6 linked regions of the Callithrix jacchus genome follow. The protein of the gene in region 1 purifies or fractionates together with the protein of each later gene. This does not show direct contact. Links are inferred from orthologs where the notes say so. Each region holds a gene or a part of one and is shown in the gene's direction. Other genes may lie near its edges.

Region 1 (2,783 bases):
TTTACATGAAGAGCAAGCAAGCCTATGTTTCCTGTTCGGCCTCTGGGATCCTGCTTCTTGCTTGGGGACACCACATTAGAAAAGAGTTGCAAGGTAGAGGTTGTCCGTGGCTGATATCAGGCTGGCCTTGTTTGGATGGGGAAAAGGAACTCCAGAGCTGAAAGACACTCCCAGCCGCCTCTCGAGTGTGGAAGGTGGATCAGAGCCAAGCAGGGAGCTGGGGAACCAGGGCTGGGAGTGGCTTGCCTGGTGGCTTGGACCCAGATCACACAAGATGGAGCTCACACTGGGGAAGCCAGGAGATTCAGCTCTGCTCCGAAGGCCCTTCCTGCCTGCACGTGGGTATCACTGCATGAAGAGGAGTAGAGACCCGATTGGGCAGAAGCCATTCCTTGTTCTATTTTTGAAGCTTTTTGGCTGAAGCCAGTGTTTCACATGAGGAAATGAAAGTTGGCTGATGTAATTTAGTTTAAAATAGGTGTCACCTTTGGGGACCTAACCCAGATTGTAATTTTCTTTTGCATGCTGGGTATTCAGAACTCAGCAAAGAATTTATTGTCAGGACTGCAGCTGAGGTTGTGGGGAGGGGTAGAGATTGGTTCATTGTTGGCAAAAGCTTCTTTTAGATGATAAACTCTTTCCTGGAAACAGTTGGGACCTCACTGATCTCGATGGCTGTTAGAAGTTTTAGAACAGTTTAATTTCCTTTATAGTTTAATTGATAAAGAGCATTGATGAAAAGTTAGGAGGTCTCCTTTTCCCTTTTTTAGAATGGGAACAATCCCCAGTTCACATGTACGGTTGCTGTGAGGATCCGGTAGGGGCGATACCGTGCCCAGCACCAGGCAGGTGCAAGTGAGCACACAATGGTTTTACAGCAAGCTCCCCCTCCAGGGCAGTTGCTTTGAGGGGGAAGGTGGAGAAGGAGGAAGAAGGAGGGTTTGCACGGTTGGCAGAGGTGCCCTGCACCCTCCGCGGGCTGTAAACACCTGCCCTCCTGGAAGCTGTGGAAAGTGGGTGGTATGGATGAGATCCTGTCTGACTCTGTTCCCTGAGCTGTTTCTGAAGTGAGCTTGTTAATGAGAGTGTGGACGTGCTTGAGCCTAGCCATCCTTAACTCATGGCCATCACAGGGGACATGCTTCGGGCATTCCACGCAGCCTTGAGGAACTCTCCCGTCAACACCAAGAATCAAGCCGTGAAGGTAAAGGGGTCACATGCGGTTCTGCTGGGTGCTGTTGGGACCAGGGCTGTGGGTGTCTGCCCGGTGTGAGCTCCTTGGGGCTCTGGCCTGCATCCGTTTCATTTGCACCAGGGGAGTGAGTTGGCACTGGGCAGTGCTTCCACAGAAGCCTCCTGGCACTCCCTAGATGGCGAGGCTCCTCCAACATCAAAGCTGTCAGTGTTTATAGGAGAAACTCCCCAGAGAAGCCTTCACTCCCGCTCAGGGCCTCGTAGGCTGAGAAGTCAGCCTGGCCCTGGCTGATGCGGAAAACTGATGACTTCTCCAGCCTGTGGTGCCTATGCTCTTACAGGCTGTTGGATGGGCTTCGTCTGCCTAAGGATTTTAAGTACCTGTATGATTTCCTACCTTCTAAATTGTGCTTCTGCATCACAAAGGCTAAAATTTGGTTCAGGGAAAGGGTCTCCCTGCACCTGGGATTCTGGCAGCTGTGACAGCATCTTGATTGCACCTGCAGAGTTCTGGGGACTGGCCCCACCCTTCCTGGGTGTGAACATGAGGGACGCTGCAGCCAAGTCAGCCTGGTTTTATTTTTATTTTTTAATAGAACTTCACCATTGTGGAGTATAATAAGGCCTTATTGGTGTCATCTAAAATAGTGATAGGCTGGGTGCCGTGGCTAATGCCTGTAATCCCAGCACTTTGGGAGGTGGGAGGATCGCCTGAGCTCAGGAGTTTAGCCTGGGCAACATAGTGAGACCTTGTCTGTACTAAAAATTAAAAAAAAAAAAAAAAAAAAAGGCATGGTGGCATGTGCCTGTAGCCCTAACTGAGGTGAGAAGATGGCTGGAACAGGCTGCAGTGAGCCAAGATTGCACCACTGCACTCCAGCCTAGACAGCAGAGTGAGACCCTGCCCTCCCTCCCTCCCTCCCTCCCTCCCTCTCACCCTCTCTCTCTCTCTCTCTCTTCCTCTCTCCCTCTTTCTCTTTTTTCTTCTCTCTCTCACACAGAGTTGATATTTGTCCTAGTAAACAACTTATTCCCCCCAAAATAAGTAGAATAACTTGTTGGCATAAACAAAGGATACTTTGAAATTTAAATCCTCAGAAGACCTTCTAGCCTGCTTATTTTAACCATCCTGGACTATTTTGAAACTGGGTGGTGTTTCTGGTGATCAGTGGTCCTTGCTTTGGTGTGGGGCACAGTGGTGCTAGTGCCACTCTGGGTCTCACTTGCTCTTTTTCGTCTGCAGGAAAGAGCCCAGGGTGTGGTGCTGAAAGTGCTCACAAACTTCAAGAGCAGTGAGATTGAGCAGGCTGTGCAGTCACTGGACAGAAACGGCGTTGACTTGTTAATGAAGTACATTTATAAAGGCTTTGAGAAGCCTACAGAAAATAGCAGCGCAGTGCTGCTCCAGTGGCATGAAAAGGTATGTGAGCACTGCCCCGCGCCAGGTGAGCCACTGGGCTTGCCCCAGGCTTCAATCAGCGGGCCAGATTTTCCAGAATAAACATCGGATGGTCTGATAGGTGTGTAGGGTCACAGGGTGAGCCCTAACCTGGGACATCTGGTCACTTCCCTCTCTCAAGGAAGCTCCT
Region 2 (4,380 bases), on another chromosome or scaffold:
ACACAATTTGTCTGTTTCCCGCTAATCTGTAAACTCTACAAAAGACCTTAACTATTTTCCATCCCAGGGAATATTCAGAGTCAGCAGAGTCCCTGCCATAATAGAGTAGGTAAGCAATACTTACCTGTCAAATGAATAAATGAAACACCCAATTCCATTTCCCAGGCCAGCTTAATACCACACTACACGATTTTATGGACTGAATAATATATCCCTCCTTCTAAAAAATATTTTTATTTTAGCTTCACATTAGTAAACTCAGAATGGTTTATCATAAGAAAATCTTGGTGGAGAGGAATGATATTAACCTTCTAGGTTTCTAAAGTGGAACTAGGAACTTATTAGAAATGTGAATTTCTAATTGCTGGGGTGTGGCCCAGCAATCTGTTTTAACAAACCTTTGAGGTGATTCTGATACACACTAAAGTTTGAAAGGTTTCTTTAAGGCTTTCCAGTTTTCTTTTTTTTTTTTTTTTTGGAGTGATGGTTGTGGGGGGTCCTCCCTATGTTGCCCAGGCTGGTCTCGAACTCCTAGCCTTAAGCTCTCCTATTCTTCCACTTTGGCCTTCTAAAGGATTGAAATTACAGGCATGACCCACTGTGGCCGGCCTCCGTTTTTAACTTAAAACTTTTTTTGGGGGGGGGAGTGCCCTTAATCCTTTCTATTATACTGCTAGTAGACTCTTACTACTCCTGAGGGGAATCGTTGTCATAATCTAAAAGCCTTGAATAAAGACCTATTTGGATGGCGTATACTATGTAGAATACATTCCTGGGAGGTTTGCCTTCCTTAGGGACCCAGGTCAGCCCTGGGAGGTGGAGGTTGGGGAGCAGGGCTACATTCTAAAGTCCTGTAACAATGCACAAGTACAACTGAATAAAACCCGCAACAAAGGCCTAAGGACCACGGTGACAAGTCTTTGTTCATCCATTCCCCGACTGCTCACCCTGATACCGCTCTTTTCCACCCAGAAAAGCAGCCACTCAAGTTTTAAGAATGGATGCATGCCGCAGACGTTTTCGATTAGACCGCTTTCTCCCAGGACCTGTAGGATATTCGCGGCTGCAGGAGGCGCTTCCACTCTTTCCCCAATCTAGCAAAGAAGCAACTGAAACTAACCCAAGGGCTGCAACCGAAAAGCCCCTTCCAGCTTCAGAAGCAGAACTAGAAGCTCGGCTAGACTTCGCCTCTATCCTCCTGGAAAACTCGCAGTGGATTTCACTAACTTCGGGATCGGAGCCCGGGCAGGCGAACGTACCTTATTGCGCATGCTCGCTGGCCCCTCCCGCTCGGAGCGGAAGGGGGAGCTCTCCGGGCCTGAGCCTGGCCGGGCCCGGGCGTCGGCACCGGCGGCCATCTTGGCTTCCCGGGGAAAGGCGGCGTGAGGGGAAGAAGTTGTAGGGTGGGGGCAGGAGTGAGGAGGAGGGAAGAGAGAGGGGGAGGAGGCCGCGGCGGGGCAGGGCGGGGACTGCCTGCCTGCCCGGGTTGCGGAAGTGATAGCCGCTGACCGAGCCTGCTGCTTTCTTGCTACTGCTTCGGCTTCCCGGCTACCCCCCGGACGGTGAGGGCGGCCCGGCTGTGGATGGTCAGATAGCGCCTGTCTCCCGCCGCCAATCTCTGGCCCCTAACAGCACGGAGCAGACGGCGGCAGCAGCAGCAGCAGGCTAGGAGGAAGATGGCGGGACGGCTGCCGGCCTGTGTAGTGGACTGTGGCACGGGGTAAGGGGGCTGACGGGCGGGGGTGGGGAAACTGAGGCGGAGGAAGGAAAATGGCGGGGGAGGGAGGAGACCGGGAAATGAATGGTGCGGCAAGGTGCCGCCGCCGGCTGTCAGTCCTAGCCCCGGCGGCTAGCAAGGGGTGGGGCCCGGAGCCAGGGCCTCGCCGGTCCCCTAGTTTCTCCCTCCTAGGACTGGGGCGGGGGCGCAGGCCCGAGATTCAACCTCCAACCCTCCCAGCGGCTTCCTCCGCGCGACCCCCCCCGGCCCTTCCCCCACTGCGGTGGGCTGTGCCGCCCAAAGAGTGCTGGGGACGGTCGCTTTGGGGGTGGTCCCCGGGCCCAACCCATCCGGCTTTCCTTTCCTTCCGCGCCCCTTTTCCCCGTGGGTTTGGGGGCCCAGGGGCCGTGCTCGGGGACTGGCCTGGCAGAGGAGCTAGAAAAGAGAAGCGCTCCTGGTAGGTTTTGCAAGATCGCTGTGACAACACTCTGCCCAGGGTGTGGGTGGGGAAGGGGAAGAATCGGACTCTGAAAATGGGAACCTACAGCGGGGCTTTCATTTGACCACCCACCTTCTCTTTTCGACTCCCGGTCATTTCCATCTCCCTCTGCATTTTAACCGGTGAACCAAGTCACATTTTAATTCGAGAGAGAAAAATGTCATGTGTTACTTCTGTAGCCTCAAAAAAGTCCCCCAGTGAGCAAGCGCGCTGCAACTTCCTTAGTTTTGTCAAAGCCGCTTCCTGCTTTCAGTCTTTTATACCCTTATAAGGTAGTTTTTCGTTTCCAACCTGAACACAACTTATTAGTACTTTTAAAATTAAGCAGGTTTTAAAGAGACGGAATTAACGGTGCTTGGTATTCATTCATGTAACTTAAAAAAATGTACTTGTGTTTCATGGAGAGGGGAGAAAGGAAACACCCTGGAAAATAATTTAAGTTGCATACGTTCCTTCTCTGATGGTATCTTGAAGGAAGGAGGAAGGAAGGTATAGAGGTATATAGGAATGTGTTTAAGTTGCACATAGTTACTCTTAGATCTGTAGAGCTGTTTGCTAAAATATAGAATGGCTTTAAAGTGGTCATTCATTTTGTATTAATAGACATTTTAGAGAGTTGTACCACACTTTGTATAACTACATAGAGAATAGGCTACTTTTATTTTAATGTAGAATCACTGCTTCACGATGACATATAGGAAACTGTTTTCTTTTTTCTGTGATTACATCGCTCTAATTCCCAAACACTCCCAGTTTTATTTTTGAGGGGGAAGGCGTGAGAGGTGGACTGCAAGGCTTTTAAAAAAATTATTGTTAATCATAATTATTAATAATATTCATTATTGTTCCTTAAAAGATTGTATGTCTTTCACTCTTTATTCCATGTAAAATTTCTTTAATCTTCATTCTCATAACTAGCTAGTGTGGCAGTTTCTAAAATCACAGTCAGGTAGAGAAACAACCAACTTAATATTCTCCCCAGGAAAACACTAGCCTAGATGAGCTTTGGAACATCTATGTATTTTTTTGATGAACACTTGATTAGTTTCTTCTTAATCCAGTCTCATTTCTCTGAACCAATAATATTTTTTCTTTCTCCCTTCTTCGTTTAATTGGTGAGTAGTTTTATGTCTAGGTTCAGTTTTAAAATTAGATTTGACCTGAGTCAGTAGGACTTTTCCAATATGTTTTGTTGAAGTGACAATATGGCTACATAATTAATGTTTTAGAAATTACTGAGTTGTCAATAAAAATAGTGTAAATAATTGTGGCCCTAAGAAAGACTATGGTAACATCTCAAGTAGTATGTTACTTTTATTCTTTCCATTTTTTCCCTTTTGAAATAGTTTCAAATTAGTATACTAGATGTCTCATTGAGGTTAACTGTCCTTAAGTGACCTCCTTTCCTAAAGGGCAACCTTGAATTTAAAACATGCTGAATGACCAGTAGGATCAGGGAGAGGGGTTCAGTTTAATCTAGGATATGTCTGTTTTAAAATTTTGATTTTTACAGTAGTATATTTTTACATTATTACATTGGTTTCCCCGACAAGGAGAGGTTGCTAACTGCATTCATGATTTTAATGGAACTGATTAGGAGTCCCTTTGCCAGCTCACTCTCTTTTACAATTTGTCACTACCTGAAAATCTTCCTTTAGAGTTTCAGTTATTTTGGTCCTCAAAAGGCTTTTTGGTCTCTTAAGTTGCCAGTGGTTCTTCCAGGAAAGTTACACCTTCAACTTTATTAACACATGGATAAGTCCTTGAGGTTGGGCCCCTGAGATAAGCATCTCTAAGTATGGCCTTAATAGGGAATTTTTACATTTCAAAATTCTGTGGTCCCCGAATGCAAATTGTGCACCTATAATTTGTCTATTTCTTTATGCTTTAGAGAATGCATTCAGCTCTTAAGTCTCTAGATTACAATTGCCCACTTAGTTTAAGCAAAAAATTATAACCTGAATCAGGTCGTTCATTTTATTCATTATATAAATTAGGGAAAAGGTGGCTGATAAAAAAAATGGTCATCTGTAAAACTTGATTGTCTTAGATAAGAAGGCTGTTAAGAGTTAGGAGACTTGAAACTTAATCCCAAAACTGTTAGGGATTGTCCAGCAAAACTCAACATATGAATCTCGTAGATTCAGGTCATAAAAGAGAATAC
Region 3 (3,624 bases), on another chromosome or scaffold:
AAGTCTCTTAGTTCCATTACACTCTGGTGTATTCGTGTACTGATTTTTTACAAAAGCTTTTTAGTTTGGAATAGTATGACTTACTGTAAGATTGCACAAAAAAAGGATGGGGAGAGACTACAGAGAATTCTTGTACCCATCACCCACATTCTCTAAATATGAACATTTACCGTGTGTATTTTTTGTTGTATAATAGCTTTGGTGAGACATTATATATAGATACATGTTAATTCTAATACTTAATTTTAATAATGAAAACGACAATGACCATTTGGCAGGTGTCTAATTTCTTAATCGTTTTTGTCTCTCAACAGCCCTGGAAAGTAGATTAAGTCCCTAAGGCCCATGTTCACACAGCTGGTCCCATAGTAAATAGTTGTTGGGCAGATGTATGCCTGAGCATAGCTCATAGCTGGGGGTGCTAGAGCTGTCACTGAGTCTGACTCCCAAGCCTTTGCCTACCCAGTGCACCATGCTGCCCACCTTCCCAGCTGTGTGGGGCTGAGGGAGTGTGCTCCTAGAATACACCTACCACACTGTGGCTCTGGGGCTTAATAGGGGTCAGAGAGGCCTGAGACTTTCTGATAAAGATGTGCTCACCATGAGAGATGAGATTGCTCACAGTTGGTTATCAGCAGAGATAAGAGTCCTCTCTTTGGGGCTTAACTGGGATTGGAGAGGTTACAGACTTTCCCCGCAAGAAATGAGATTTCGCATAGTCTCCGTTGGTTATCAGCAGCTTTTGCAGTTCTCATCAGCTGACCCCACCCCTCGACTCTGCTCATGGCAGCCCCAGTGAGCCACAGTAGCTGACCTGGGTCGGTTGGGTTTGGGATCCCAGACTGATTCCCTTTTTTCATCTTGCCTTTTGTTTTCTTCTTCTATTTGATCATAATTAGAAATGTTTCTGGGTGGGGGGTGGTGGCTTATGCCCATAATCCCAGCACTTTGGAGGCCAAGGCAGGAGGATCACGTAAGATCAGGAGTTCCAGAGCAGCCTGGCCAACGTGGCAAAACTCCATCTCTACTGAAAATACAAAAATCAGCCTGGTGCGGTGGTGCGCACCTGTAATCCCAGCTACTTCGGGAGGCTGAGGCCAGGAGAATCATTTGAACCTAGGAGGTGGAGGTCGCAGTGAGCTGAGATGGTGCCACTGCACTCCGGTGTGGGCAACAAAGCGAGACTTCATCTCAAAAATAAATAAATAAATAAAAGAGATGTTTCTGTATTGACTCAGATTTGAGGCGGAAGCTCTGTCTCAAGCTGAGCCCTTCATTTCCATCTAGTGCTTTGTGGGAAGCTGCTCCAAAAGATCAGCAGGAGCCCTGGTCTGCCAGGATCAGGAGGGATCAGGATGTAGGGAGTTTGTTGCTATATTTTCTCCCCTATAAAATATCCCAAAAGACAGAAATATCGAACAGCCGTGGTCACTCCAGTGGTTGTGGCCTGCATGGATTATCACTGGATGTCACTCGCTGTACTGTGTTTTTTATCTGGAAGGAGTGTGAGGCCCAGAGAGGTTCAGTAATCCAAAGACCACAAAGCTAGAGGAGGTGGCGGAGCCCAAACTCAAATTCATCTTTATGACACTAAACCTAATATTCCCCCAAGGGTGCTGCACCACCTCCCCCAGCGAGAGGACGATCAGAACACACCTAAGGATTGTCTCCTACAGCCGTTGCAGGGAAGGCCCCGAATCCCAGACAGGTGTTCAGGTGAATCTTGGCTGAGCAACAGCCTGGGACCCAGGCTGATGATCTGTCATTTAACATCTAACAGGCACATTGGCCTGTTTCCTGCAGGTATTTTGAAGGCGGCGTCTCATCTGTCTACCTCTGGGATCTGGATCATGGCTTTGCTGGAGTGATCCTCATAAAGAAGGCTGGAGATGGATCAAAGAAGATCAAAGGCTGCTGGGATTCCATCCACGTGGTGGAAGTGCAGGTACTGCCCACCAGCAGCTGGTGGCCGGGGCCGCCGAGTGTAGATGGCACACCAAACAGTGCAGCCCTGCTCTCCAGCAGATGCAGGGGAAATGCTGTGATCTCTGAACCCCTGCTAATTCTGAAAAATGCCTCAAAGCCATTTGGATAAAGATAAGTCAAGACTGCAGTGGTCATTGATTATTAAGTTCCCAAAAGAAATACACAATTAGAAATGTTGTCCCTTTAAAAACCAGTCAGGTTTTTATAAGAAAAATAATATTGTGAGGCCAGGTGCGGTGGCTCATGCCTGTACTCCCAGCAGTTGGGGAAGCTGAGGCGGGCAGATCACCAGAGGTCAGGAGTTCAAGACCAGCCTGGCCAACATGGCAAAACCCTGTCTCTACTGAAGACAAAAAAATTACCCGGGTGTGGTGGCGGGCGCCTGTGATCCCAGCTACTTGGGAGGCTGAGGCAGGAGAATCATGTGAATCTGGGAGGCGGAGGCTGCAGTGTCTAAGATCATACCACTGCACTCCAGCCTGGACAACAGAGCCAGATTTTGTCTCAAAACAAAAGGTAATATTTGAATAATGACCTAGGAAGGGAGATGTTAGGATAACCCTGAGTTTAAGGGGCCACTTCAGGCTCTTCCCTAGCTCAGCAGGTCTCTGTCTTGTCCTTCCAGGAGAAATCCAGCGGCCGCACCGCCCATTACAAGTTGACCTCCACGGTGATGCTGTGGCTGCAGACCAACAAATCCGGCTCTGGCACCATGAACCTCGGAGGCAGCCTCACCAGACAGGTAGAGTTACCGCTCCTAGCCACGTGCCTGTGCCCACCAGTGCTGGCCTCAGCACTGATCTGCACAGATGAGTGAGCCGGGGCCCCATTTAGGGTAAATGTGTTCAGCCAGCTGTAAATCCACCATCTGAGTAGGTAGGGCTTCACATTTTCATGAATGCGATTTCAATGAAAGCCCTCTAGGCTGTATGAGGTTGCCCACAGCTACCGACACCGTGCTAGCCTTCTGCTGAGGGAGCCAGGCGCTGGCCATGGCTCCTCCTTACCCCTCAGGGCCCCACACACCCCCATGCTTCAGGCTCACGTTGTGCTGTGAGAAGCCGTTCCTGGCTCTGTTTGCGGTCTCTGTGGCCATGCCCGGCCCATCAGTCAGGCCCGCTCTCTGGAAGCCACTTAACCTGCTGCACCTTGCAGCCCTCAGCCTAGTCCAAGGACCAGCATCAGTATCACCTAAGAGCTTGTCAGAAAGGCAGAAATACCGGGCCCCACCCAGACCTGGCAAATCAGGATCTCCATTTTCGCAAAATTCTCCAGGTAATGTGTGCGCATTGAAATTTAAGAAGTGCCCTACTGGGTACCTCTCTCTTACCCATCTTTTGTTTGGGTATCACTAGCGACCCTTCTCTACAGTGTTGCTCCCAGGTTCTGTCTGAGGCAAACTTGGACTTGGACCGGAAGGTCCTGCCTCCCCTGAGCAGATTTGCCTGCACTTCTACTATAGCTGTTCCTATAAGCATCTAGGTGGGTTTAAGATCCTTGTATAAGGGTCCACGTTCAGGCCCCTTCAACCCCCATCCCAAGAGAAGGCCTTAACCTTGTGACGGTGCAGTGCCACCAGCTGCTTGGCGTGAAGAGGAAAGAGAAAGCACAGACCAAGCACAACTGGGCTTTAGAAGG
Region 4 (4,073 bases), on another chromosome or scaffold:
GAGATAGCGATACCACTCCAGCCTGAGTGACAGAGTGAGACACTGTCTCAAATTAAAAAAAAAAAAAATAGGTTAGCATATAATTTGGGGGGATCAGCAATATCCCGAAGCTTATCCATAGCCCGTTAAGGAATGTCTCAAAGGGCTATCTGTGCCTTAATGATAGGAGCTAGTTTCTTGTTATTTTTATCCCCACCCCAAACACATAGCAGAAAATAAATTATTTCTTCGTATGTAGAAGAGACTCAGCTAAGTTTGTTATATTCTTCCCGGAGGAGGGAAAACAAAACAAGGCATAAAGGCAGAAGGTGCAGATGTAACACAAAGATGAGTTAAGTTTCCACACGCAGGTAACAAAGAGGGTTATGTTTCTGCCAGAGGTACTGGAAGGTATAGGTTTAAAAGGCAGGAAAAAAATTATGTTCTGGACACCTGGACGCAGTTCCCCAGGCATATAGAATTGGAGGCATGGCAGGAACTCAGGGGGGCCTAAGTTGCCTATACACCCAGGTGACCTCTCATTCCTTTCCCTCATTGCCCTTTTAACAACACGGGGAATTTCACACAGGGAAAGGTTCCCCTCTCGCCCCAGCGGGCAAGGAGGCTCCTCTGCGCAGAGTTCCGTCCCCAACTGCCCCCACGTCCCACAGGTCTCCTCCTGCCCTGTGCACGCACAGGTCTGACCACTTGCTGCTTCCGTATCCCTCCTCTGAGCCTCTCCCTATCCTCTCGGCCTCCTTAAACAATTGAGAATGTGTTTATTGTCTGTTTCCTCTACCAGACTCTAAGTTCATGAGGGCAGGACATCGTCTATTTCATTCGCCACCACATCCCCACTGCAGAGCAAGAGCCCATGAAATATTTGTTAGAGAAATGAATGAGTGATGGTGTCGCTGGACAGCTATTAGCCTGAATTGAAAAGGGTGCACCCACAGGAAACAAGCTAGGAGCAAAGAAGCCCGTTGGGAGACGACAAGGGCGAGCTTCTTGCGAGGTCTCTGAAATGACAAGACCGGAAGAACGGAGTTGGATCTCTGGGACAGGCAGGAAGGAAAAGCTAAACAATCAGGCAAGCCTCGGGGAACGTCAGCTTCGCGGGGGACGCACTGGCAGACCGCGGATGTAAGGGGGTCTGTGGGAAAGTAGAGGTGGGGCGGTGGCATCACACTTGCGCAAGCGCATCCTCCGTTTCCTCCGGCGCGCCTGCGCTCGCGTGCACAAGGGGTTGAAGCGGAAATGGCGCCGCGGGATCGCGCCTCCGGGCGGCGAGCGGAAGTGGGTGTGAGAGCGGAAGTGGCCGGCTAGAGCCGGGGGCTGGGCGGGGACCGGGCTTGTCCGTGAAGCGGCAGTGGCGGCGGCGGCGGCTCGGCAGGCGGGTTCAGGCTTCGGGGGCCAGGTCGGTTGGGTGGGTGCCTGTCTCCACAGTCTGTGTGCGTGGGCCAGCGCGTGCGTCTTACCCTTCCCTCCACCCCGGTCCCTCTCCCCTTCTCCCCTAACCTCCTACCCCACCCAGCCCCCCTCCTCAGGGGGCAGCAGGGCCGCTCTCTGTCCTTCACTCCCTTACCCACCCTCACCGGCCCTTATTTCTCCTTCCCCTGCTCGGGGCAGCCGCCGCCATGATCCTGCTGGAGGTGAACAACCGCATCATCGAGGAGACGCTCGCTCTCAAGTTCGAGAACGCGGCCGCCGGGTGAGCGCGCGCCTGGGGCTGGGGGTGGCGGGGGAGGCAGAGTTGACCCCAACTATTCCCTAGTGTCGTCCGGTCCCCCAGACCTGGAGGAGAGAAATGGGGTGCCTGGCAGGGTGTAGGGGCTGCCCCGGCGGGGTAGACGTGGGAGGCGATTGGGCGCGGCGGGGCGAGGGGTAGAGATGCGTGGGGAGAGGCTCAGAGGAGGGATGCGGAAGCGGCGAGTCTTGAGGACTGTGCGAGCCAAAGGGCAGGAGACCTGTGGGACGTGGGGGCAGCTGGGGCCGGAACTCTCGCTGGAGGAGCCCCCTGCCCGCTCGGGAGAGAAGAAGACCCCTTCCCTGTGTGAAATTCCCCGGCATTGTTCAGAACCCAGAGAGCGCCTGTTTGAAATTGGGTTGGAAGGAGTTTTTAGGAATTCCCAGGACTGAAGGAGGGAAGGAGATGCAGGCCCACATCGCCACCAGCATTCTCGTTCCCCACCCCCATCTCCTCTAAAAGGAGCAGAAGAGAAGACTGAAAGCCGACAGAGTCTCAGAGCCGGAAAAAGCGATCTCTGGTTTCCCTTCCCCGAATCCTTCTGTGAGAGACACTGGGCCATTTTGTTACATATTTTTCAAGCAAAGCCAGTTGTCTGTCGGTCCGCACCCCTTCCTTATCTCTCCTCTGAGGTTCTAACGCTCTCTCCTCATCCACTAGTCTTTATCTGGTTATCTTGTAAATTCTTATATCAAGACCCTGGTCTGTGATTTCTTCTGTGGTAACCCTGGCCCAGTGACACACTTCAAAGCCTCCAGAATCTGTAGTGCTTAGATAAGCTTTCTTTAGGGTTGGACTTTTTAAAAGGTGGGCTTAGGATATATTTCCCAGGCAGCCTTCTCTGCCAAACACAGGCATCAGTAGAAGACAACCTCCTCCTCCAAAGCTGTTTTGCTTTTCTAATATAGTATTTAAAACATGAGCTCAGGGTTTTAGGTTCTAATTTTTGGTGGCCTGTGGCCAGTCCCTTTGCCTCATTTCCCTTTCTAGGAGCGTGGGGCTTCACATCTTGGTTTCACAGTTGACGAAATAAATGCAAACTGTTTCTGGTGAACTAGTAATAGGAAAGTGTTTGGAGAGCCACAGATGGGAGATCAGTGGAGGGGAATTTTTAAGTGGCCATAATGTATTTGTGGCTTGGAGGCATTAAAAATTATTAGCTACCATTTAAACTGAATGTATAGTATGTCCTGTCTCCTTTCTAAGGCTATGGATTTTATCTGTAAAACAAAGCACTACTTTCTTGAAGTTAATATGTGTAGTGAGCAGTACTGTTCCCTGCCAGGGGCTGCTGTTGTTTATATTTTAGGCCGATTTGCTTCTTTCTTGTCTTAGCCTCTCTTACCAGTGTCTTTGCATTTTAAATATTCAAATGAATCAGCCCAGAGTCTTATTTTGGATGATTGCTGTATACTTTTTTCTGAGCAGTGTAGCATTTAGGAGGAAGTTGAATTAACTTCTGCATTTTCACAACTGATCTTAATGCATTCTCAGGTCCAGACTAGCAAAGAATGAAGCCTGGGCGGTCCTAAGCTGATCTACAAGATAAATGGCTATGTATTTTCAAGTAGAGGCATGTCATTTAACATAGGAGTACATTCTTGTCTATTTGTGTATTTATGACTCGTGATTCCAAAATGTGCCCCATTATTCGGAATTTCACCTCTTTCTTTTAGGAAATTATTCTTTAAAAGAGTAGCTAACCATTTCAGAGGGATCAAAATAGGCCCTCAAGTCTGGAAAACATAAGTTAGAACTTCCAGGATTTTTTTTTTTTTTTTTTTTTTTTTTTGAGACAGTCTCACTAACTGGAGTGCAGTGACATGATCTCTGCTCACTGCAACCTTCCCCTCCCAGGTTCAAGTGATTCTCATGTCCCAGCCTCCCAAGTAGCTGGGATTACAAGCACGTGCCACTACACCTGCTAATTTTTTTATTTTTAGTAGAGATGGGTTTTCACCATGTTAGCCAGTCTGGTCTCAAACTCCTGGCCTCAAGTGACCTGCCTGCCTCAGCTTCTCAAAGTGCAGGAATTACAGATGTGAGCTGCTCCGGCTGGCCTCAGGACATTTTTTACAAAGATAGGCATTGTAGGGAAGTTGTATAGGGGGTGCATGGGTGTGTGCACGTGTGTGGGTGTGTGTATAAGTTTTGGATTTTATTCTGGCCCATCTCCCCCTTTCAGATGTGGTCTTCAATAAGTGGGCTCAAAACATTCTGCTGAAAATTGAAACTTTGAAAATCTTTTAAAAGAGCCATGATATCATGCTTAGTAGGCAGGGCTTTCCTGGAATTACAGATTTATCACCCAGCAAAAGCCTGAATGAAGCAAGTGTAAATTATCAGT
Region 5 (4,397 bases), on another chromosome or scaffold:
ATATCAGGTCTGAAACTGAGAGTTTGACAAGTATACCTACGTAAACCTCAACCTGCAACCAAGCACTGGGATAAAATATGTAAATACCAAAGGGAAGGAGACAAATCCTTGGTTGGCCTGGCACAGGGGCAGGGCTCACACCCAGTGCTTTGGGAAGCAGAAGCTGAAGGACTACCTGAGCCCAGGGGTTCAAGAACAGCCTGTACAATATAGGAAAACCCCATCTCTACAAAAAAATATATAAAAATTAGCCAGGCACAGTGGCTCACACCTATAATCCCAGGGCCTTGGGAAGCTAAAGAGGGAGGATCGCTTCAGCCCAGGAGTTCAAGACCAGCCTGGGCAACACTGCAAGACCCTGACTCTACCAAAAAATAAAAATTAGCTGGCCAGGCACAGTGGCTCACGCCTGTAATCCCAGCACTTTGGGAGGCCGAGGCGGGCGGATCATCTGAGGTTGGGAGTTCGAGACCAAGCCTGACCAACATGGAGAAACCCTGTCTCTACTAAACACAAAATAATGACCGGGCATGGTGGTGCATGTCTGTAATCCCAGCTACTCGGGAGGCTGAGGCAGGAGAGTCGCTTGAAACCAGGAGGCAGAGATTGCAATGAGCCAAGATTGTGCAACTGCACACCAGCCTGGGCAACATGAAACAACGTCTCTAAATAAATAAATAAAAATAAAAATTAGCCAGACGTGGTGGTGTACACCTGTAGTCCCAGCTACTTTGGAGGCTGGGGCGGGAGGACCGCTTGTGCCCTGAAGTTCCTGGCTGCACTGAGCTATGATCGAGCCACCGCACTCCAGCCTGGGCTACAGATCGAGACCCTGTCTTAATGAAAAAAAGAAAGAAAGAAAAAGAATAACAAAAAGGAAAGCTCTCGATTAGTCCCATCCGTGGGGGCTGAAGCTGCTCCAGAATTTCTACGGGTTCAAGGGCAGCAGCCTAGTTGCAGATGGGGGAACCACGGCAAACCTCAGAAGCTGTCCTCTGTGAACTGGGGGCATAGCCTAGCTCCCCCAACCTTTTTCCCTGCGGCGCCATCTTGGGAGAAAGGAACAAGTGACTCTGCCCCGCGAAGATTCGAGAAGGTTCCTGGGGGACTTCAGGGGCTTTCCACAGTGGAAGCACGGCGGGGGCGGGGGCTCCCTGCACGAAGCAGCGCTGAGGTCGACTGGTTCTGACCTGGGCTCTCTGAAGAGAGAAAAACTCAATCGTTGGTCAGGTCCAGGAGCTCCAAAGACCCCCCAATCCTCAGTCACTTATTTCCTGACAAAAGAACTTGCGAAACTGCCGAGGCGCCACACTTTGGCTCGCGATTGTGAGGAAACTGATTGAGGAACGGAATGGGACGCCCATGCCGCTTCGCCAGCACTTGACAGGCGTTCCGTGGGGCCACATTCCCTCTGAAAGGCCACCGCCTGTGCCGCAGCAGCAGCAAATCCGACCGCGTACCCTTCCTCACCACAGTCTACCTAAACCCGGACTGCGCGCCTGTGCTATGCGCATGCGCAGACCGCCCGCACGGCCTCACCGCGCAGGCGCCGTGGCTATTTCCGGGATCTGTCAGCCGCTCCCTCTGGGCTTCCGTCCTCCGCCCGCGCCCGCCGGAGCCTGTTCGCGTCGACTGCCCAGAGTCCGCGAATCCTCCGCTCCGAGCCTGTCTGGACTCCCCGGACCCCAGGTAACGGCCAGCAGGGGCAAGCGTCTCACCCTGTCGGCCTCTCTTGTCCCGGTCTCGCGCCGGACTTGGACCCGCGGGGGCGGTGAGGTGGGGGCTTAGGCCGCGGGGCCCCGAGGCTGAGGCGCGGCCGGGTCTGCTGGGGCCTCCTGAGGGGGCGGGGATCCCCTTTCTCCGCGGGTTCCCTGGAGTTTCTCTCTTGATGTTCAAGCTCCTAGCCGTCTCCAATGCCAGAATTAACGACCTATTCTGCGCCCCAGGGTCCTGATTGCACCTCTGCTGGGGACATTTGTCACCGTCTCTAAAATTGTGTCAAGCAGGAGAATCCCCTAATCGAGCGTCCCGCGGGACCATTCATCTCTTTAGCGTCTGGAGTCGATCCCTGCATACAGCAGGCGCCCATAGGATGTTTGCCTCCTCTCTAGGCAGCCCTCAATCTTTCAGTTACTGGGGAACCTTTCCGATCTCGAGAAAAACCTTCTTCTGAGTTCTTTCAGATCCCCCTGCATGAGTACCGCCTTCCCCCAAGTCAAAATCGCACCCTTCTCGGCTCTCCTGTTCGTAAAATCTTTTATGCCAGTCTTGGCACCACCACTTTGTTGGGTGATCCTGGGAAGACTGCTTCTCTGTGCCTGTTTTCCTCATGCAATAAAAAAGATTCTTACTGTTTTGCTAAGGATCAAATGAGCTTATTTGCATAAATTGCTTAGAATAGTTCCTGGCCTAGAGTAGGTGATCAATAAATATTCACTATCATTACTGCTTCTGGGCGTTCTGTGCATATCTGTCTCCCTTTCCTTTTCTACCTTCTCCACTCTTAGCAACCACCAACCCTCCAGACTTGAAGACCAGAATGGTGTCAGCCTTATTTATGTTTCTGTCCCCATCCCAGTATTTACAACACTGCTGGGAACATGGTAGGCACTTAATAAATTATAGCTTAGAATCTTTGATTATAAAGCCATCTGTTCTACTGCAGCTTTGGAACCTTCTGTCTGTGTCAACTCATAGCTTAAATTGCCGAGATTATCTTAATTCTGCCCTCTCTTCTCAATTTTATCTAGTCTTTCGGTTTTACATAGGCCCTGAGTTTTCAGGTAAAAACAAAGGAGGGGTATCAGTCAGGAAGCTGTTTTTGCCCCGTTAGGAAGTGGGTAACTGTGTGGCTGTTTTCTTCCTTTTTTTTCCTGCCCTGCAGCCTCGACCTCCTGGGCTTAAGAGATCCTCCCACCTCAGCCCCCTGAGTAGCTAGGACAACAGGCATGTGCCACCACAGTGGGTGAATTTTCATTCATTCATTTATTTTTCTGGAGACAGAGTCTCACTCTGTCACCCAGACTGGATAGAGTGCAGTGGCATGGTTCAAGCAATTTTCCCGCCACAGCCTCCTGAGTAGCTGGGATTACAGGGTGAGCCACCACGCCTGGCTAATTTTTTTTTTTTTTTTTTTTTTTTGTATTTTTTGTAAAGACAAAGTCTCGATATGTGGCCCAAGCTGGTCTGAAGCTCCTGAGCTCAAGCTCTCCCCCCACCTCAACCTACCAAAGTGCTGGGATTACGGGTGTGAGCCACGACACCCAGCTTATATGGCTATTTTCTCCCATATTCGGAGTATGTATTAGAAGATCTTGTGGAGTTCATCTACTAATCACACTTAAAGGAAGGGATCATTTTGGAAAACTCTTGTTTTGGAGGTGGAGTTGCCATACTTTAATCTAATTGTTTCCCAGTGCTGAAACAAATCCTTCATGAAGAAGTTTAAAATGGTCTCTTGGTGAGGTTGGTGCCTGGACTGGAGCCTGTCTGAACATTGAGGAGGGTGTGGTGACCTTGTTGGATTACTTGATATTGCTGGGTTGGGTAATGAGAGTGGTTAGAAACTAGGTGAATCACGGTCTTAAAAACTGACCCAAAACCAGGGACAGAAATTCCCACTTGTGTGAATACTTTCAAGCTCCAAAGGAGTAGGGCCAAGAATTTATAGCAAATGTCAACAATTATAAGCTCAGAGGAAACTAACTGCTGGGTTCTATGGTTGGTTTAAAAGCCTTGGGTCAAAGGAAGAAAGGGAACCTACTGACATGTATTTCAGAATAGGCTCTGTACTACTTGCTTTCACACGTTGTCTCATTTAATTCTCCTTGTGATGTCAGTGGTATATCCACTTTACAGAGGGGAAAAAAAATGAGATTGAGAAATATTAAGTGACTTGCCCAGGGTCTCATAGCTAGTGTGTGTCAAAGCCAGGATTCAAAGCCAGCCTTGGCTTCAGAGCCCATGGCTAGCCATACATCAGAATAACTCTATACACAGTGATAAAGAAAAGGGATGGGGGGCAGGCACGGTGGCTCATGCCTGTAATCTTAACACTTTGGGAGGCTGAAGTGGGCAGATCGCTTGAGCCCAGGAGTTTGAGACCAGCCTGGGCAACATAGAGAGATCCTTGTCTCTACAAAAAAATTAAAAGTAGCAGGGCATAGTGATGCATGCCTGTGGTCCCAGCTACTCAGGGGGCTGAGGCGAGAGGGTGGCTCACATTTTTATTTGTCCCCTTTTCTTCCTCTCTAGCTCTACTAAGACAAAGCTTTTCAGATTTCATTTAAACATTAACCATAGTTTAGAAGTTATAATTATCACCCTATGACAGAAGGTACCCTTTCTTAGTATATAATTCAGGCTATTAGGAATTTCTTCTGCATTCACTGGGTTTC
Region 6 (3,624 bases), on another chromosome or scaffold:
TGCTTTTGTCTCCAGTCTTGGTAGATTTGAGGTTGTAATCAGCTGACCCTGTCTCTCTCTGTGTCATCAAGGAATACAGGGTTGTGTAACACTTTTGGCCTATCAGTCTTCTTAAAATTCCACTAGAGTATATCAGAGATACCCAGAAGATGGCATTAGAGTATGTTTCAGGGATGCTAAATACCTCGAGAACATCTTTGGAGGTCCTTGAGGGAGCCATTCCTTCCAGTGTGTCGAGTGCCAGCTGGGCAGCCTGCCTGTTTCTTCCTGTAGGCAGTGTACTTTCAGCATCTAGTACCTGGGGGTCACCTGCTGCTTTGCTGAGGTCAGCGTTCAGGACACATGATCAACACAGAGGTGTCCAAGAGCATCAGTCACACCAGGAGACATTTTGCATACCTCAGGCTGCCTGTCGCTGAGAACTGTAAGTGAGTTCTCTCGCAGCAGCACGGCTTCAGGCCTCCTGCCTGCCTTTGCTTTTCCTCGTTCCCCGGAACCTACCATGTCATTTACTTGTTATGGTTGCGTATTGTCTGACTCTCAGCTAGAGTGTAATCTCGGCAGGGATCTGTGTGTGTTTCACTCACTTGTGTATCTGAAGTGCCTAGACAATAAATATGTGTTGATCGAGGGACTTAGAATACCCTGTCAACAAGGTACAGTATCTCTACCTTAAAGAGATAGTAGTGTCAGGGGAGCTGATGACAGTGCTGTGGCCGACTCCACACCACATTAACAACCCGCAGGTTGATAGTGGCCTCCTGGCTTGTGGCATGCTGGGACCCAAAGAAGCTGCTGCAGTCAGGTGTGAGGGGATAGACGGTGCTGCACTCGGTAGATGAGGCTGTAGCACGGATCTGCTGGTCCAGTGTGGACAACAGAGAGGTGCCAGGGCAGGCCATAGGGGCCGCCTCAGAGGAACAAGGCAAGACAAGGTCCTTATAGACACCTGTAGATATCATTTCAGATAGGATCGCAGTAAAATTGGATAGACCAAGGCTGAGATTAATAGCTGAGTTGCAGAGAAAGCAGACGTAACTGTCCAAAGTCCAAGTGTTGTCATGTGGAATGTGAGGCTTGACGGCACATCCACCCTAGAGTTACAGTGGGGGCAGATCTGATTCCAGGGGTGTGCTTACTGCCTGGGGTTCCTGGTTGTTTGTCTGAGGGCAGAGACGCTGGGCACTTGTTAATGCCTGGCAACGTCTTTGTGTGTGTATGCAGGAGAAATACTGTTACATTTGCCCCGATATAGTCAAGGAATTTGCCAAGTATGATGTGGATCCTCGGAAGTGGATCAAACAGTACACGGGCATTAATGCGATCAACCAGAAGAAGTTCGTTATAGATGTTGGTTATGAACGGTTCCTGGGACCTGAAATATTCTTTCATCCGGAGGTAAGATGCTTCTTTTTCGTGTGCTGAAGCGTGTGGATGGAGCGACACTGCCACCCAGAGTGCAGAAAGAGTGGTTCCCAGGAAAGGGCCTGTGAGCAGGGTGGCTGCCATTCGGTCTTCTCCCTGTGTCCCCCGCGCAGTTTGTCTGCTTGACAGATTGTTCAGTTTGCCTCTTCATAGACTTGGTTATCTGCTTTAATAGTAAAGGGTGGGTTATACCACGTATGGGAAGACGTTCAGGAGCAATAGGAGATGATAGAATCGAAAGTAATCTCCAAAGGTTGTGGGTGGTCACATGCTGGTATTACAGGTAGCTAATCTCAAGGACTATATGGAGGTTGCCTGTGCATAAGAGTGGGATAATCTATAACCTTTTTATCTTTGGCGATTGCCCTTCCTAACTTCTAATTTTAACCCTGGACAGTGGGTCCTGCTCTTCCCTGCTGCAGGTTTTAGGTAAAGCTTCTGTCTAAGGCCAGCATTTCTGTTATTTAGATAATCTTAAGAATTAGAAATGTTATTTTAACTAGCAGTCATAAGGAATTATTAGTACTTTTGCAGAAAACGGTAATTAAGAGGCACATTTTAAGATTTACATATAATGCATTTTATTTATATTTTGGTATATTTTCCTGGCTAATTCAGTTTATATTCAGAAGGTGGGTTATAAACTGCTTCTTATTTTTAGATATGTATGTGTCTATTTTGTACAGAGAAACAGCAGAGAATGTTACCTCACTAGTAATCTGATGAATAAAATTATACCAGTGATAGTGTAGTGAATGCTCACTTTTAATAGTATTGATGGAAATGTGTCACATGTCCAGAGAACAGCTGGTGAGCACCTGAACGTCTTCCTCCTTCCTCTGAGTTGACACTTGAAGTTTTCCTTGATTTTTAAAATATTTCAAAGGAAATGTAATTGAGCTGAATTAGTTATACTTTAGCTTATGTGACTTATGGAATTGAATCTAAGGCTTTGTATTCAGTAACATGGTCATCATGTGGCTTGTTTGATTTTAAACAAACTTCTCATTAAACAAAACACTTCCCCATCTTCTAGAGCAAGTTTAATTAATCTTTCATTGAACCTGTTTCTTTTTTCCTTGTATCCTAATTTTCTCCTAACACTATTGTCAGATATACACTCACGCTTCTCGCTGCACTTCACACAGATCGTGCACATGCTTCCCACTTCTCTTATTAGGCAAATCACTGTGTATTCATGATGTAGGGATGGTCTGTCTTTGTTATTGTTGGGTATTTTTTCTTCACTAAGTCCACACGTTTTACCTCATGAGGAGAAATTTGTCATCACTGCCCCACGCACACGTAGTCACGTGGGATTCATTTGACATATCCTTCATTCCAATGTGAATTGTTTTAAGTTTTAATAAATTGTATATTTGTTAAAGTTACTTTACAGAAGTTTTCCTGTTGTTCTATTCGAGAGAAATGTGCAATGTTTGTTTTATATTGATACACAATTCAGTTTGCCAACCCAGACTTCATGGAGTCCATCTCGGACGTTGTTGATGAAGTGATACAGAACTGCCCCATCGATGTGCGGCGTCCACTGTATAAGGTATGAGCTGCCTGGGTAAGAGACTTCCATCTCATTCCACATTCTTAGACGAGGGTGTTACTGTCTAGTGCTAGCAGATGGTCCTATTTCACCTTCTGTTTTATAGGATTTATTAAAGACAGTGTAATTGTAAGAGAAAATGGAAAGTGACTCAATTAACTAGAAGTTTTTTTATTTGGAGATGGAGTCTTGCTCTGTTGCCCAGGCTGGAGTACAACCGAGCGATCTCAGCTTACTACAACTTCTGCCTCCTGAGTTGAAGCAATTCTTCTGCCTCAGCATCCTGAGTAGCTAGCTGGGACAATAGACACCTGTTGCCACGCCTGGATAATTTTTTTTTTTTTTTTATATTTTAGTAGAGACAAGGTTTACCATGTTGCCCAGGCTGGTCTTGAACTCCTGAGCTCAGGTAATCCACCCGCCTTGGTCGCCCAAAGTGTTGGAATTACAGGTGTGAGCCACCGCACCTGGCCAACTATAAATATTTAAGTATTGTAAATATATTTTATTTTCTGACAAGATATATCTTAAGCTGGACAGTTTTAGCCACACATATTGATTGAAAGTCAGAGTGATACCCTCCCCCATGCTGTCTGTGAGCTCCATTGGTTTCGTTTCATGCATATTTGGGTTTAGTGCCG

The links.
Region 2: the proteins of ARPC5L (region 1) and ACTR3 purify together in Homo sapiens (affinity purification with mass spectrometry; 6 studies listed by BioGRID and IntAct, counting the BioPlex papers as one, with this or other methods). This does not show direct contact. The link is inferred for Callithrix jacchus from reciprocal best matches to the Homo sapiens genes ARPC5L and ACTR3.
Region 3: the proteins of ARPC5L (region 1) and CAPZB purify together in Homo sapiens (co-immunoprecipitation; 3 studies listed by BioGRID and IntAct, with this or other methods). This does not show direct contact. The link is inferred for Callithrix jacchus from reciprocal best matches to the Homo sapiens genes ARPC5L and CAPZB.
Region 4: the proteins of ARPC5L (region 1) and ARPC2 fractionate together in Homo sapiens (co-fractionation; 7 studies listed by BioGRID and IntAct, with this or other methods). This does not show direct contact. The link is inferred for Callithrix jacchus from reciprocal best matches to the Homo sapiens genes ARPC5L and ARPC2.
Region 5: the proteins of ARPC5L (region 1) and ARPC1A fractionate together in Homo sapiens (co-fractionation; 7 studies listed by BioGRID and IntAct, with this or other methods). This does not show direct contact. The link is inferred for Callithrix jacchus from reciprocal best matches to the Homo sapiens genes ARPC5L and ARPC1A.
Region 6: the proteins of ARPC5L (region 1) and ACTR3B purify together in Homo sapiens (affinity purification with mass spectrometry; 3 studies listed by BioGRID and IntAct, counting the BioPlex papers as one, with this or other methods). This does not show direct contact. The link is inferred for Callithrix jacchus from reciprocal best matches to the Homo sapiens genes ARPC5L and ACTR3B.

Annotation. Positions count from the first base shown.
Region 1 is NC_133502.1:173,467,816-173,470,598, forward strand, and holds part of ARPC5L (actin-related protein 2/3 complex subunit 5-like protein), read left to right. Parts: intron 1-1,131; coding exon 1,132-1,204; intron 1,205-2,437; coding exon 2,438-2,614; intron 2,615-2,783. UniProt on the Homo sapiens protein: May function as component of the Arp2/3 complex which is involved in regulation of actin polymerization and together with an activating nucleation-promoting factor (NPF) mediates the formation of branched actin networks.
Region 2 is NC_133507.1:98,527,381-98,531,760, forward strand, and holds the start of ACTR3 (actin-related protein 3), read left to right. Parts: upstream 1-1,466; 5' UTR 1,467-1,676; coding exon 1,677-1,720; intron 1,721-2,007; exon of another isoform or gene 2,008-2,174; intron 2,175-4,380. UniProt on the Homo sapiens protein: ATP-binding component of the Arp2/3 complex, a multiprotein complex that mediates actin polymerization upon stimulation by nucleation-promoting factor (NPF).
Region 3 is NC_133508.1:56,259,433-56,263,056, reverse strand, and holds part of CAPZB (F-actin-capping protein subunit beta), read left to right. Parts: intron 1-1,803; coding exon 1,804-1,945; intron 1,946-2,611; coding exon 2,612-2,728; intron 2,729-3,624. UniProt on the Homo sapiens protein: F-actin-capping proteins bind in a Ca(2+)-independent manner to the fast growing ends of actin filaments (barbed end) thereby blocking the exchange of subunits at these ends.
Region 4 is NC_133507.1:139,959,692-139,963,764, forward strand, and holds the start of ARPC2 (actin-related protein 2/3 complex subunit 2), read left to right. Parts: upstream 1-1,215; 5' UTR 1,216-1,275; intron 1,276-1,333; exon of another isoform or gene 1,334-1,396; intron 1,397-1,608; 5' UTR 1,609-1,616; coding exon 1,617-1,690; intron 1,691-4,073. UniProt on the Homo sapiens protein: Actin-binding component of the Arp2/3 complex, a multiprotein complex that mediates actin polymerization upon stimulation by nucleation-promoting factor (NPF).
Region 5 is NC_133503.1:14,253,315-14,257,711, reverse strand, and holds the start of ARPC1A (actin-related protein 2/3 complex subunit 1A), read left to right. Parts: upstream 1-1,586; 5' UTR 1,587-1,689; intron 1,690-4,397. UniProt on the Homo sapiens protein: Probably functions as a component of the Arp2/3 complex which is involved in regulation of actin polymerization and together with an activating nucleation-promoting factor (NPF) mediates the formation of branched actin networks.
Region 6 is NC_133512.1:95,420,070-95,423,693, reverse strand, and holds part of ACTR3B (actin-related protein 3B), read left to right. Parts: intron 1-1,224; coding exon 1,225-1,398; intron 1,399-2,890; coding exon 2,891-2,983; intron 2,984-3,624. UniProt on the Homo sapiens protein: Plays a role in the organization of the actin cytoskeleton.